2 linked regions of the Lepisosteus oculatus genome follow. The main gene of each other region encodes a partner of the protein of the gene in region 2 in a complex. Links are inferred from orthologs where the notes say so. Each region holds a gene or a part of one and is shown on either strand. Other genes may lie near its edges.

Region 1 (6,992 bases), on a different chromosome or scaffold from region 2:
TGCGTGTCCGGTGTTGTTGACAGACCTGAGAGGCGAAAACGAAATTCCTAGAAAATCTGATTTTCAGCTTATTGCAAATCTCCAAAATCCATAAATTTGATGGTATGACTAAGAAACAAATCTTGTACAAATCCCATACGGCAACCAGCCTGAATCAGTACTTAAATGAAGGGAAAGGCATGAGCTACACGATTTTGAAATACACAATTACAAGCAGGGCAGGAGTAAGAGAAGAGAGCATTGACTTCAGGCTGTGAAGTACAGCTTGCTCAGAAGAAAGGAAGCTGTGGTGTGGCAGATGGGTTTAAGAAAGTAGTGGTAGACTGTGTCTGTGTAGCACAGCTGTATTTGCTGTCTGGTCTCATGCAAAGCATGCAGAAGTACTGCTGCACTGCTACTCTGCAAGCCTCCTAAATTTTTTGTGTTGGCATTTCTCACTTACGTCCTTGAACCATCTTTGAAATTGGAGCCGTTTTGGGAAATATTGCTCCTTCGCATGTGGAATCATCTGTCCCTTGGTTCGACAGTCTATGAATCCTCACCACCACACAAAAAATGCTGGTTTGTTTTCTTAGTTGACCGTGAGATAATGATATGCCATTGCATTCTCTCGTGACATTTCTGTGAGAACACTAAGATCTCCAAATACAATCAGAGCATTGCATTTTAATCTTAAATACTCTTCTTAATTACAGAAAACAAAAACTCTCTCGTAGCATTAGCAAGAGACAGAATAGAAACCTTACCAGGTATGTTGATCCATCTGAGCTTTTGGCTGCTGATATGATAGGTTTCCGATAGCTTTTCTCTTTCGCTACAAGGTCAAAGATAAATACCCAGATCACCCCCATTTCTTGCACAAGGGAACACAATATTGTCTGCATATCAAAAATCAGGGAACTGGACTTGTACCTGTGAGGCTGACTTCAGTACAGTGTGCCGAGACCTTGCAGTCATAAAGTCTACCATACTGCTGGTCGCTCATATTGTCCAAGGGAGAAGTAACTAAGATCCTGTGATAAAAGAAACAGGTCCTTAAAGATTGGGAGAAGATCACCGTTGCGTTTTATTTACAAATATTAAAGATTGCTAGTTAGCTACACTCCTATAAGGCTATTATAATATCAAGTTAATATATCAACAAGCATAAAGACAAACATTGTTATTAAGATTACCATATGTACCACAATATACTATTTTAAATTGAAGAATATAAGCAACAAGAAAGTGCCAGAAACTTCATGAAGCAGAGGATAATGTAACTCTTTACACTACTCACCCATCCTCATACTGAAGGACAGATTGCCCTAGGGAAGGGCTGTTCAATTCTTCAAAAGTTTGAATCGGCTTGGAGTAAATATTAAAACCCTCCACTGCATATACAGCTGCAAATTCAACAATAATATGAGGTTAGGTACGTTAGATTTATCTTTATAGGGACAGAACTGCACAGCCCTCCAGGACCAGAGTAATATGAGAGAGGAAGAGGGAAAAAAATAAATGAATTAAGGAAGGAGATTTTCACTATCAGTCCAAAGGGGTGACCAGATCATCCAAACGTGCTCAGTACTCGAGTGGAGACCATGTGTCAGTTCTTCCAGAGGTAGAAATGCAGATGCGCGAGAGTCGCATTTCATCATGGTGCATGTACCACGGAGTCAGAACACAGCAGCAAAATACATGTCTCAGCAACATGAACAATTTCAGATTTTATCCAGTGCATGGTCGTGTCGGACTGGGAGTGCAAGCTGGCAAGAAACAGGCACAAGGCAGGGTACACCCTGGACAGGACGCCCGTCCATTGCAGGGCGTGTTGGCACACACACACACACACACACCAGGGCCATTTTCCCCCAAATTCAATTAACCTACAAACTATATCTTTGGACTGTGGGAGGAAACATGCGAGCACTCCACGCAGACAGCACCCCAGAAACTGAACCCAGGGTGCCGGCTGTAGCGCTGGGCCACTCCCCTGACCGCTAATGTATCATTATTTCTCAGCTTCTTGAAAACAAAAAAGCCTTCACCGTCGCCAGTTTCCAAATTCGTTTGCGTTATATCCTAAAAGTTTGCTCCCTTTGTTGTATGAAAATAATGTATGTATTTTGTTGAACTATTGACACACGTTGCAGTGCTTATCACGATTTAGGACTTTATGTATTAATACATCTCGAAACTGGTGCACATTTTGATCTGCCAGTAATATATATATATATTCTGGCAAGAGGTGATGACGTTGTTGGGTGGTGAGTGCTAGATTTTAGCTTCGTTGGAGAAAGAATATGAAAAATAGGACAAGGGTGTTCTCAAATGAATGCATTATGTTGAGAATGTTTTATTACAGAAGAGCTACCACACCCGTACCGCAGCCGAACTTGAGATTTTAAACATCATACTCTTCAGCACGAAATGTAATACATATAAAAAAGACATTTAGAGGGAGAAAAAGAAGTCAGACACTGATGAAAAAGGAGGGGTCTTATTTTATATTTCACGTTCTGCACTTCTCAATGAGCTTGAGGTTCCGTATAATATAGTAAGAACTCTCAGTGCAGAAAGTGTAAAAGAGTATTTTCATCACGTCCGAGACATTTTCGCACCTTTTAATTAAACCCCCCAAACATTTATTTTATATAAAGTTTAACACGCGTAACACAAGAGCAAGTAATGACTTCTGCAGCTACGGAATTGATTACAAGGAAAGTTGTACTCACTGATTAGCCACAATAGACAATTATGTGCCATTTCGGTGTGGTTTCCGTAATAAATCTTTTAAACGTTGGTAATACCAGCGACATATGTCTCGCATATCAGGCAGATATGTTCCGAAGAGGATGTGGGATGTCTGTCGCATAGTCACATGCAAGTCTGCGTAATACTACTTCACAACTTTTCTTCCTAAAAATACATTAAATTACTTATTACGTCGCTTTCAGGTTTTATAAACCCGTTTAAGGTGTAAGTTATCCAATCAAGTTTTATTTTTTTCCGTCTAATGTGCGTTTGCACTTAAATTACTAAATTGCGCATTTTTTTCCTGATAGTTCCTACACACCGCCTCTACTGTATTGTACTGTTTTTTTTTGCACAGGTATATCAATACGTATAACAAGAAGAGGGAGAAACGTTAAGAAATTAAAGGTCAGAGGGAATTGTCAAATCAGCAACGCAAAAATCTATTTTAACAAAATTGTTAACAAAGCATGATTAGTTTGTCCCGGTCCGAGCAGCGGATTAAAACGAGTATTTCTTATTTAACAGGACTCAGCGTCTTTGAAGCCAATTTTAAAATGCAAAATACTTCACTCCCACCTTGATATTTTATTTGCTTTTTCAAATCGCCATTTTCTTCAACTAAGAAGAAAAAGCGGCCATTTTTTAAAAATTAGAATGGCAGATTGAATAAAGTTTTTAAGGGCATGTTTGTATTACACGATTTTACAAAATGATGCCTTTTTTTGCCTTATAAAAGTTTTTATAATTCCCCAGATGTAAATCGGACTAAACCTACTAGTAGTGGTTTAGTAGAAGAACAATGCGTTTTTACGATTAGGCAACGTTATTATCATCAAAGCGAATGACCGGGGTGGCCTCCTCTGGTCAGCTTTGAGCGTCTGTTTTAAACCTCCTTGTTTTAGCAACCCGCTTACTTAGCAACGGTATTGGGCTCAGCAGAGCTTTTAAGTAATGGAGAACAGCTTTGCAGCCCCGCAGTGGCTACTAAAAGCAAGGACAATCATTGAAAATTCGCAGGTAATCTTAATAATAATAATAATAATAATAATAATAATAATAATAATAATAATAATAATAATAAATAAATAAGCTTTGCGATAAGGTGTGTTGAAAGATGAAAAAGCGATGTGTTTTCCAAAACGGTTCATCTATACCCGTACAGATTCTAAGATGGTTTATACGCTTTCCTTTCTGTGACCTAAATAAATAAAAAAAAAACTGATTCAATTACGCCCTGCGCCCTGTGTGACTTCTGCAAGCACAGAGGGCCGAGTACCACAGCAGGCACGCACTCATATGTGGTTACTTTTAGAAGAGAATAGAAAGATTTCTATTAAAAGCGAGTACTTTAGCAAGAGACCGGTCAGGTAAGATTAGTAAAGACATACCGCTCTACGTTTTAAAGTCACCAGCGGGTCTCAGAAAACAGTTTGTATGGTATCTACGAAAACGTTACATAAAAGATCTAAATACACAGGCAAGGTTGTGCCGGACACATGAGGCTGAATTCCTTTCCCAGGCTTGTTCTTCAGTTTATATTCGGTTATCTGCTGATGATTTAGCCCTGAGAATGAGAAAGGAAGAGTAAAAAAAAACAAGGGAAAGCTGTGAGGTGACAGAACAGTAACATGCCTGTGTAAGCAGGCATCTCACCCAGGGCGTGCCCTGCCTTGAGCCCGTTGCTTGCTGGGATAGGCTCCAGCTCCCCCACTACCCTCAACTGGAAGAGCTGGTTAGAAAATGGATGGAGGGATGCTTGATAACCCAACAGTGAAGGCTACTCTGTTACCGTAGACTTCGCTGTCTCGGAATGAGGAGATACTTTCCTCATAATTACGAGATAAGGGGGTGATTGTTTTTCCCTTGGTGGCAGCGTTGCGCTTCTGCAAGTATTCAATATGTTCATGTACTACGTCAAAAAGCTGTTTCTCAAAGGCAGCCTACAGTCTGCTCGAGTTTCTAGACGGGTCCGTGGGAGACAGAATTGTCTCCCACGTCTTCGTCTTTCTCTCTGCTGTCGGTTCCCATCACCCGTTTCCTCTCCTCACGCACCCTGCTGGTGCTGGTTCCGCTAACGGCCACTTTGAAGTGCTCAGCTTCTGCCTGTGGTTACACCCGTGTGTGCGCTGCTGGCAGACATAGATCTGAAGATTGTTCTACATTCTGGGAAACCTGCATTTGCAAATATTCTCTGTAGGGTTACATGCCAGCAGGCAGCAGAGCTTAAGGAATGGCAGTGACTCCTCTGATATTAATTGACTCTCTGGATGGAACGTTGCCGAGTCTGATTTTGTCACCTTGAGAAGAAGTACTTCTTCTGTGGAGGTTTATTTTAGAGAACAGGGAAGGAGAAGTGAGACTGAATACAGTTATTTACAGTATCATAAACCAGAGGTGGATCGAGGGGAGGCTGTGGTCTGTGGCTGATTCATCTGCGTAGGGAGCTCCTCTTTACCCAGAGCTCTCCAGTGCAGCTCTGTGAGACTGGGGCCCTGTGTGACTGTGAGACCCCTGTTTCCTTGGCCGCCCCACGCATGCGATCATTTCACTTCTCTCTTCAGAAGGTTTTCCTGGGGAACAAGACGTATGCTGGTGCGGTGCTTGGCGCAGCTGCCTCACAGGCTCCAGGCAGTGTTTGAGCCCCACTTGTGTCACCTGTCTGTGCAGAGTTTGCATGTTCTTCCCGCATTCACAGGGTGCCCCAACTTTCTTCCCATCTCCCAGTGACATTAAAGTTCGGTTTGACTGGTAACTCTGAACCGTCGCTTTCCTGGGGTGAGGGTTTCAAAAGGAATTTCACCCTTGGAGGTGCTACGTTCAGACAGTGTGTCTATAGCAGTGGTTCCCAGTCTTGGTTCTTGGGGAGCACTGGTGTCTCCTGGGTTTCCAGTCCAAATTATTGCCTTGATTGGGTCGGTTTTGTGGCACCACCTGCAGACACAGTATCCCTCTAGAGCCAGGATTGGAGTGCTTTCCTGTCCACGACCTGGGGTGTTATCTGTGTGGAGTCTGCAAGTCCTCTCCATGTTTGCGTGGGTTTGCTCTGGGTGGCTCCGTTTCTTCCCACAGTCCCATCCAGGGGGTATCTCACTTTCTTGCCCATTTCTTGCTGAGTTAGACTCCGGCTCCCCCGCAGTCCTGTATTGGATAAAGCAGATTAATAACTCTGTAGTCAGAAATTAGGGTAAGCAAGTTGGGGAGAATTCCATATCGGAAGCTGCAGCAAATAAGTGAACTAAAAAAGTAAGTCACAGTAAGGAAGTAGATCAACTAGGCGTCAACTAGCACTGGTGATTTATAGCTCAGCTGGACTGAAATACAGCAGACACCGTGATGGTCTCAGGTAGTTCCAGGACCAGGGATGCCTGTGGTGTTATAAACAGAATCAAATAAGCCCAACGGGCAGAAAGGTCATTTCTTATCTGTGACATCTGTGTCTTTCTGATGTTCTGCTCTGAACAGTTAACCCAAGTCATGCTGCAGACATCTTTGCACAATTCTAAATGTTTTTAAGTAGGTGTTCAGAATTGCTTTAACCTTACTGGCTGTCCACCTTGACTTTTTTAAAACCCTGTGTATAGAGTCTTTTTCGCTTCTCTGTTGCTGTTTCAGGAGTGGAAGGCTTTCACTGCAGACCTGTTCGAGGCTGTGCAGCAGCAGCAGACAGAGAATCATGTCAGCTTCTTCGCTGACCTCTCTGAGGCAGAAAAAGCCCTGTTTCTTGAGAGAGCAGCTAAGGCAATCTGTAGAGGTGAGACTCCACAAGGCTCAAAACCTTATGCTAAGCAGGAAAGTAAAAAGCATTTCTGTACCACAGCTGACAGTGGAACTAAGGGTGCTTGATGTGGGGTGAAGAGTGTGAAAGTGTAAAGCCCAGGATTGTGTCTACACAGGAAATTGAGTGCTTGTCTGCATCTTCCGTTTAAATACGATTTGCATAAAGGTCATGTGGATAGTCCCAGAGTAGACATACATACTTACCTACAAGTTTTTCTTTTATGCAAAGCAAAGAGCGTGTACCCCTTATTTTGTCCAGGGAATGCCCACAAAGATGTAATCGCTCACATCGGCTCCAGCCTTGAGAATATACTGAGCGGAGTTGTTGCTGCACAGATGAGTGACAGTGGGGCTGTGTCTACAAAATCAGATCTCTTCCAGAGCCACGTCAGGGATGGGATGGTAAGCTTCTCAGTTTGGGAAGAGGAACACTGTGGGTGAATCCCACACAGGTGTGAGAAAGCCGCCATGATCCC
Region 2 (7,616 bases):
TTAAAACTTTTTAAAGTGGATTTCAATGCCAGTTACACGATCAAGGTGTACAACGACATTCTTCATTGCTTGTAATGACCACATAGTTCAATTCAATTCAGTGGATTTTTATTTAGCGCCTTTCACAACAAGGTTGCCCCAGGGCCCTTAACAAAGCAATTGACCTTACATGTTGTGAATACAGAACAGAAAAGACCAGAAGACAACGGAGGAGAGGAGCCAAAAACTCCTCAGTAAGGAGCCAGGCGCTCACTTCACCCGGGGCTCTGCATCTGATCCCCGCATCGTGCGAGCACAGGACCTGGTTGTGCCCGGCTCCGTCATGTTTTTAACTTCCTGCTCCTGTCCTTGTTCCCCCAGCCGGTCCCGACCCAGCACCTGATTTTAATCTCCTGTTTGGACAGATTTCTCAGCCTTGGACCTTTTGCTTTCGTTTTTGGATTCCCTCTTTTGGATTTATTCTTAGACTGTTCGCCTCGACCACACCTCCCCGGATCACCAGCACCGTATGGACACGCCCCCCTGTTTTCATCCCTGTTCCTGCATGACTAGTGCATTCCTTCCTCACTATTCTGGATCGTGTCGTCCACATAGGGTCCGGATAGAACTGTTCGTTACACATCTGTTGAAAGGATGAGTGAGGTCAGATACCCCCCAAACCAAACAGCTTCTGAAAATGGCTCCAGCAAAGGCTTGGCAAAGCATCTCAACAGAACAACCCAAGAACCTGGCGATGTCGCCTGGGTCACACGCTTGATGCAGTTATTGTGTCCAAAAGATCAGCAACCAAACAATCACGTTTTATACTACTTTACGTTAATTTCTCCCTATACCTATGTTCACTTAAAATGGGGGGATAAAACACAAAAAGTGGTGTTCTTCTGAACCTGCACGCCATATAAGCACAGAAATATCCAGAAATGAAAGGCGACATTCTGTACTTTTGCATCAAATTCATCTTTTCATCTCAAATACAAATTTCTTGAATATATAGCAAAAATAGAAATGATTATGTCATCCATCCATTTTCCAACCTCTTTATCTAATTCAGGGTCCATCGGACACCAGTCCATCACAGAACACACACAGACACACTCACACCAGGGCCAGTTTTCCCAGAAGCCAATTAAGCTGCCTGCATGTCTTTGAACTGTGGGAGGAAACTGGAGCACCTGGAGGAAACCCATATAAACCATGGGAGAACATGCGGACTCCACCCAGACAGCACCCCAGGACTGGAATTGTAACCCAGGGCCCGAGTGCTGTGAGGCAGCAATGCTGACCCCTGTGCCACCCTGCAGCGGTGCGAAAGAAGCTGAAAACGTTTGCTGAAGGATGAGGCTGGAAGCAAGAGAAGAGCCTCCTTCACCTGATACATTGGCGCCTCCGAAATGTCAGCGAAGCTGCGGCACAAACATCCATCGAAACCCCAAAAGAGCACGCACTGCATCAAAACACGTCCGCAGCCGCCCAACTGCAACTCCAGAGAGCACGCAGCGAGATTCATGGTCAAAACCTATTTCAACGCAGTGTGGTAAAAACACAAAGTCTGGCAAAATCGCTTGGGTTGATACGCCCCTCGGATCCACAGCGCGACCCAGCTCCGGTTTGAATTAGCACCTCGCATCTCACGTTTGGAGCATCAGTTAAGCTAAAGTTTCTCGCAACAGTTGTTTTTTCATCATTATTATTTGTATCCTGTCCCTCTCGCCTTTGAAGTCCACACCCTTGCAGGGCTAGACCCCCGCTTCTCCTGTCTGTCGAACCGCAGAGGCGCGCCTGACTGCTCGGCGAGAACCAGCGGCCACCAACCTCCAGCTCCGCGATCAAAACACGAACAACAACACGTGTAAACCGCAACACCTGAAGCCTCCACACACCTCCCTTCCTTTCCCACTTTCCTGCAGCCCGTTTCACTACCTGCGCAGCAACACGGTGCATCGCGGGCGCCATTTAAAGCTCTTAACACAGAAATCACGACAGATCTTGGCGGGCATCAAGTTAATTCCGTTGAACTGAGATGCCAGATTTGCGCTCAGCCCCTTTTGGCCTTTCATTCGGGGCTGTACCGAATAGACTGCCGAAGCAAAGAGAATTTCACAGGACGAAACATTTAAAATCACACCAATTATATACGGAATTTTTTTTTACCAGGCCACGACAGTTGTGTTCATCAGTTCGTCCTAGTTTTGCATTTCTGTGGCGCTTACAACGCGGGACTGAGACATTATTCACGGTTCCAGACCTCTCGGCGTCACCCACAGTACGAGCTGCGCTCAGCAGGGAGCTCCAGTAACTTCTGAAACAGCTTTCTGTCCCGTCGGGCGAATCGGGGGTACGTTTCGTGGAGCAAAAATAAACGTATAAATGTTCGAATTAGGTCTTCAAACACCCCCGTGAAAGTGTGGTCCTAATTAACCTGGAAATCTGGCTCTTCGGGGCCGGGGGTGGTTCGTGATAAGAACTGCGTAAGGACACAACATAATGAACCTTTACATTCTTAAAAACTGAACCGATACCGAGGGGTGATGTACTGTAGCACCAGGGAACACATGAGGATAAAAACCCGGACCAGAAAGTTTCCGTCTTGTGTGTCGCATGTAGCTACAGAAAGAAATGGATTTTGTTTTTTTGTGTATCGGAAAATACGTGAATCAAACAAAACCAATCATCTTCACACCATCACATCTAAGACACAGAAATGCTCCAACTGCCTCGTCTCTCTCAGGCTTTTCCAATAAGAAACTCGGAAACTTCTCAACTGGGCAGGAGCTGTAACAGAAAAGCACCACACCGTAAATCCTGACGAATACCTGCACTGAACACCCGGCCACGACACCAACGCGATGCGAAAGCAAGTTTCGTAGATGTTTTTTGTCATCTTTACTCACGATAACCGTGGTGTTTTGCCCGTCACCCTCCGTCCGCCGGTCCGCGCGAGGCGAGATCTGCAGGTCTGTGAAGGGCTGGGCACGCGCAGCTTCACGCGCCTGCAGGAGTAGCTCGAGCGGTTTCTGACACGTGCCCCAATAGACAGGCGCTCGAGCTCGCAGCTCCAGGGAGCGTCGACAGTTGCCGCTGAAGTTAGCTTTTTAGTTATGAAACATGAATATATTTCTATTATCCTGAAAAATCTGGAGTTTAAAACCTAGACTTGTGGGGTGAATAACGGTGATATAGGATATAACCCAATACACTGTACTGTATATTTGAAATGAAATTGAGATTTTACCACAAAAACCTTTCGGTTCTCGTATTCTAAAACGTCATAAAAATTCTTATTCATTCTGTACCACAATTGCTACACTTTGCTTAGATGCACCTGGTAGTGCCGTTTCGGTGATAATCAAGTAAATTTTTGTCCTCGTTCGGCCATGACTCGATGAAGGAAGTTATTCTTGAGAGTTGAGGATCTGAGGGGATGTCTCTGAGGAGGGTTAATCTCGTGAAACAGACACCCTTTTATAAACATTAGTTATATATGTATAAGATAAGATTTAATTGTCCCCTGAGGGAATTGTTTTATGGACACACAGCACTCCTGTACATTTAAATAGAATGCAAACCAAAAAGAAGAAAGGAAAAACATTGCACATTATTCTATTACAAAAAAATAAGAAAAACATTGCACATCACTCTATTGCACACGTATAACACGTAACAACATGTAACATTTATAACACCTCACAAAACATATTGCGCTCAAGTGGGTTGTAAGAGTCAAAATTGTGTTTATCCTTAACATTTGCGTCGACAGCTTTAATGGAGAGTGGAACAAAGGAATGTTTGTATCTGACTTACATTTGGGAACCCTAAAACGTTTGTCAGCAGGAAGAAGTTGATATTCAGAGTTGAGGATGTGGGAAGGATCTGATATAATTTTTCCTGCCTGTTTGATTATGGATCTTTCAACGATTGTCTACAGGGAGGGGTGCTGTTTCACTCCCACGACCTTCAAAGCTGTGTGGATGAGGCGGGTAATTTGCAATGTTTAAATAAACTGATAGATTACCAAACTATTAGCATGGTAAAAGAGTAGCATTACTTCCTGTCGAACCCCAAACGCTCTCCAGAAATTTAAGCGCTGCTGAATTGATGAGCAAACACTCTCAACATGAGTAGACCAGCACAGGTTACGGTCTATGTGTACACCTAAGTACTTATACTTTATGAATCAACCTGAGTGATAAATTCGTTGTGGATTACTACATGGGAGTGGTCATCAACTGCTCTGGGATCAAAAACAGTTTACAGTCGCAGTCCACTGCCCAGTTTCTCCAGGAGTGTGACTTGACCATGACGCTGAACTCCGAGGCGCCGGGAGTCGAGCTGGATTGTTCTTTCCTTAGCAGGCGCCTCTATTCCAATGCATTACACTTAAACATTCACAGTACGTGAGGACAGGGTTGAGCTCAGCCGTACACTTACGGTAAGACTAGAGTGAATAAAGACGAGATCAATTTCGATCGGCAGAATGAAGTGTGTTGTAGAATGATTCGGAGTCATCACTGTTCAAAACAGACTACAATCCAAATAAAGACTAATTCTTCCGCCATCAATTCAGATCTGACTACAGAGGGGGTACAAAGCTCTCATTTCCTAAATCGGTCCAGACTTGGCCTCCAAGTCTGTCTCCGCCGCCTGCGGACTCAAAACAAGGCGTTGTCTCCATCTAGCGACAGGATACTGTCACTGCACGACTCCTGCTTCTCGTACCGGAGAACGGCCGCCTACGGAGAGAGGCTCCAACTCCGTTATTCCTGATTGTAGTTTCTTTTTTGGGGGCGAGTGCGTTGTTGTTTTCACTTGATTTCATTAGCGGCGTTTTACGGAACGTTATACTTGGGAGTACCCGTGCACAGGCAATAGCTGTGTAGCTCAAACTCGAAGCAGGAAATGCTAAAAACAGGAACTCGTGCTCGTCCGCTGAGAAAGACGCGCGAGTTCCTGCTACTGGGAGCCTGGCGGAGGAGCGCGTGGCCCCAGCCTGTCACGGGCTGAGGTCAGGCGGGGCGGAAGGACTGAGGCAATAATAAAAACAGATTAAAGACAATTCGTGACCTCAAGCCCCCGTTTTACAACATAGAGAGTGCAAATTGCTGCAACCACCGATACTTCGCTGAAGTTGTGCAATTAACCACAGACGGGCAAGAGCCTTTTTGAAATTCATTTAATTATTAAATAAATTATTAAAGTTAATTCAAAAGCACGGGTAAAAGATTGGTCTGAGTCACATCGAATGCACCATTGTTGAAAGGTACTGACTGATACCTGGCTGATAGCTGGAATGGAAACAGAACAGTGACAAGGGCTCTTGAGTCGAGAATGGTTCTGTGTTCAGAGCCCGGGAGGGCCCAGGAGACAGTAAAATACCCAGCCGTAGAGACGGTTGTCCAGATCAGCACTGTACACGCAAGTCTGCTTTTTGATAGACATATCGGCTTAAATAATGTAACAGATAAAAGAAACAAGTGAAATAGAATGAAAGAAACCCCTCGATGTGATTCATAGGGCAATTCTAGAACTCTTAATTCTGGAATTCGAACATTGAAACCACCCCAAAAACACCTTCTCGATGGCACTCTCAATTAGTTATATGACTACACCTGTCCTACTAAGACCAATACAGACAGTATTGACAGACTACAAGCATACCGGACTAGAAGTTCCTTTGCTACTCAGCTGTTGAAACAGATTAATGTGATACGAATTAGACGGACACAGGTTGTGATGCAGCCACTTTGAAATGGAGTGCTATTAGCTGGATGTTTCCTATCGGCTGACGTGTTGATCCTGTCTCATTATACTGTGCATGTTAATTGGCTGAGGAAGCAGAACTGATGTAAAAGGAAAGCAGTTGGAGATCAGGAGCTGGAACCGACTGCAAGCTTTCTGAGAATTACCCTTCACTCCGGAGTGCATCCGAGCACACCCAAGCACATCCGAGTTGATGCGAACTTCCACAGGCCGTCTGAAATGTAGCGAATGAGAACCACAGTTCTGTCGTCTCTGGGCATCCTCCCTTCACAAGCCTGCGCCCTGCGGGCTTCTCCCGGCAGTGGGGACATCCCGGGCAGGAGCGAGTGGTCAGCCCCTGCCTCGTGTGCAGCCCTTTCCCGCCGCGCATTGCCAGAGCCACTCGGCGTCGCCCGGGTCTCTCTCGAGCGACGCCCGCCGTGGGGTTTGGGCAGCAGGGGAAACCCTCAGAAGCCCAGCCTTCCTGACCAAAGACAGGAGTTGCAGGAGGAGAAGGGAAACTGGTGCAGTTCGGGTTCAGCTCCGCTCCAGGGGGAGGGTCCCCTCATCTTCTGGGTTTGTCCCCCCCAGTTACAGAACCGGTCTAATCATACAATTGTAACACTTCACATGTAAGAAGTGTTACAGTTTTTTTTAATTTCCTAAACCAAACCAACCTAGTTTTGGAGCTGGGTTAGCTGTACTTGTAATTGTAACGAATACGGCCTTGCGTATCACAGGGATCTCAGCGGCCCGGGCTGAGGGAGGTCTCCTTTAGCTCAGCTGGCAAGTTCCCCATAGCGTGACGCCAGAGACCCGGGTTCGCACCCTGGCAGTGAGGGATGAACGGCAGGGCAGGAGCGGCGAGGGCAGAAACACCAAGAACGTCACAAAATGAAGTGAAAGTTTAGGGTTACCAAATGTAAAAAGCCCTAGGAAACCTCCTATACGTGTCAAAGTGAGAAGATCTTCAGGTTCGTCGTTTAATATCTCAAGAACAAAAGCGAAAGACACTGGGCGTTCCTCAGAGAGCTCAACTGGCCCAGCAGCTGGCAGTTTAAGGGTGTTAACACTGGTGCTCAACCTGGGCCCTGGAGGAGCCCTGTGCGTCTCCCGGTCTTCAGTCCAGGGGTCTCGAAGAAATGTAGCAACTAGAGCTCCACCCTTCCTTGGTTATTAAGCGTGTGCCATCTGATTTCCATCCAAGCAACTTCTAAGAGGTGCCGAAGTGCCGGTGGGAATCAGACACTTGCATAGCACGACCCTTTGATCCGAAGAGCTCCACTTACCTCCAGAGCACACACCTGGATGAGAATAGGTGTGGAACAGATAAATTAGTAAGGATTGATGAGTTACAGCTCTCGTTCAATATCTTAAGAACTGGATGAAAGGTCTTGGCTCACTAGAGAGCATTTAGATCAAGCACTGCTCAAATAACAAAATGGAAGAAATGAGAACATCACAGGGCCAGGACGGAGAAGGTTCTGGAGCTGACTCCTTGAGGCTCTCTCCTGTACGAAGATCTGGTCCTGGGCTAGTCCTGTGTCTTTGTCAGGAGTAACCCGCTAGCAAACGGGAGGATGGACCTATGCGGTACCTTAGGAGTTAAACGAGAGGCGAAGTCTGATAAGGGATCCGAGGTCCGAGAGGCAAAAGGCATGAACGAAGGTCTCCTAACCAGAGAAGGGCGAGGCAGAGGTCGAAGTCGAGAAGTCTGATCCGAAGGTCCGAAGGAGGAGAGCAACAAGAGAGTTTCCAAATCCGAGGGGCGAGACGGTAGGCGCAGTCGTAGGTAAAGTTCCATGGTTGGCAACAAAGAGTCAAGAGTCAAGAGTCAAGAGTCAAGAGTCAAGAGTCAAGAGTCAAGAGTCAAGAGTCAA

Evidence for each region. The genes of interacting proteins can lie anywhere in the genome.
Region 1: the proteins of itgb7 (region 2) and integrin alpha-E are in contact, whole or in part, in a cryo-EM structure (PDB 8ZJF), measured with the Homo sapiens proteins. The link is inferred for Lepisosteus oculatus from reciprocal best matches to the Homo sapiens genes ITGB7 and ITGAE. Residues at the interface, in NP_000880.1 of Homo sapiens: Val201, Leu202, Pro203, Ser206, Thr207, Val208, Pro209, Ser210, Lys211, Arg213, His214, Cys216, Pro217, Arg219, Leu220, Glu221, Arg222, Leu255, Asp256, Ser257, Pro258, Thr291, Phe292, His293, Thr294, Ala295, Gly296, Asp297, Lys299, Leu300; in NP_002199.3 of Homo sapiens: Phe36, Leu38, Arg91, His92, Arg93, Gly94, Leu111, Arg113, Leu118, Ser119, Ser120, Leu122, Glu196, Glu198, Arg230, Tyr233, Glu234, Phe237, Glu238, Cys239, Asn240, Ser259, Gln260, Val262, Met263, Leu266, Arg300, Leu401, Gln403, Phe406.

Annotation. Positions count from the first base shown.
Region 1 is NC_090721.1:4,074,097-4,081,088, forward strand, and holds the start of integrin alpha-E, read right to left. Parts: upstream 3,055-6,992; 5' UTR 2,749-3,054; coding exon 2,718-2,748; intron 1,386-2,717; coding exon 1,280-1,385; intron 1,014-1,279; coding exon 913-1,013; intron 815-912; coding exon 747-814; intron 26-746; coding exon 1-25. Other genes in the region: uncharacterized protein, read left to right, coding at 3,691-3,756, 6,352-6,490, 6,776-6,918. UniProt on the Homo sapiens protein: Integrin alpha-E/beta-7 is a receptor for E-cadherin. It mediates adhesion of intra-epithelial T-lymphocytes to epithelial cell monolayers.
Region 2 is NC_090696.1:20,659,754-20,667,369, forward strand, and holds the start of itgb7 (integrin beta-7), read right to left. Parts: upstream 3,015-7,616; 5' UTR 2,892-3,014; intron 1-2,891. UniProt on the Homo sapiens protein: Integrin ITGA4/ITGB7 (alpha-4/beta-7) (Peyer patches-specific homing receptor LPAM-1) is an adhesion molecule that mediates lymphocyte migration and homing to gut-associated lymphoid tissue (GALT).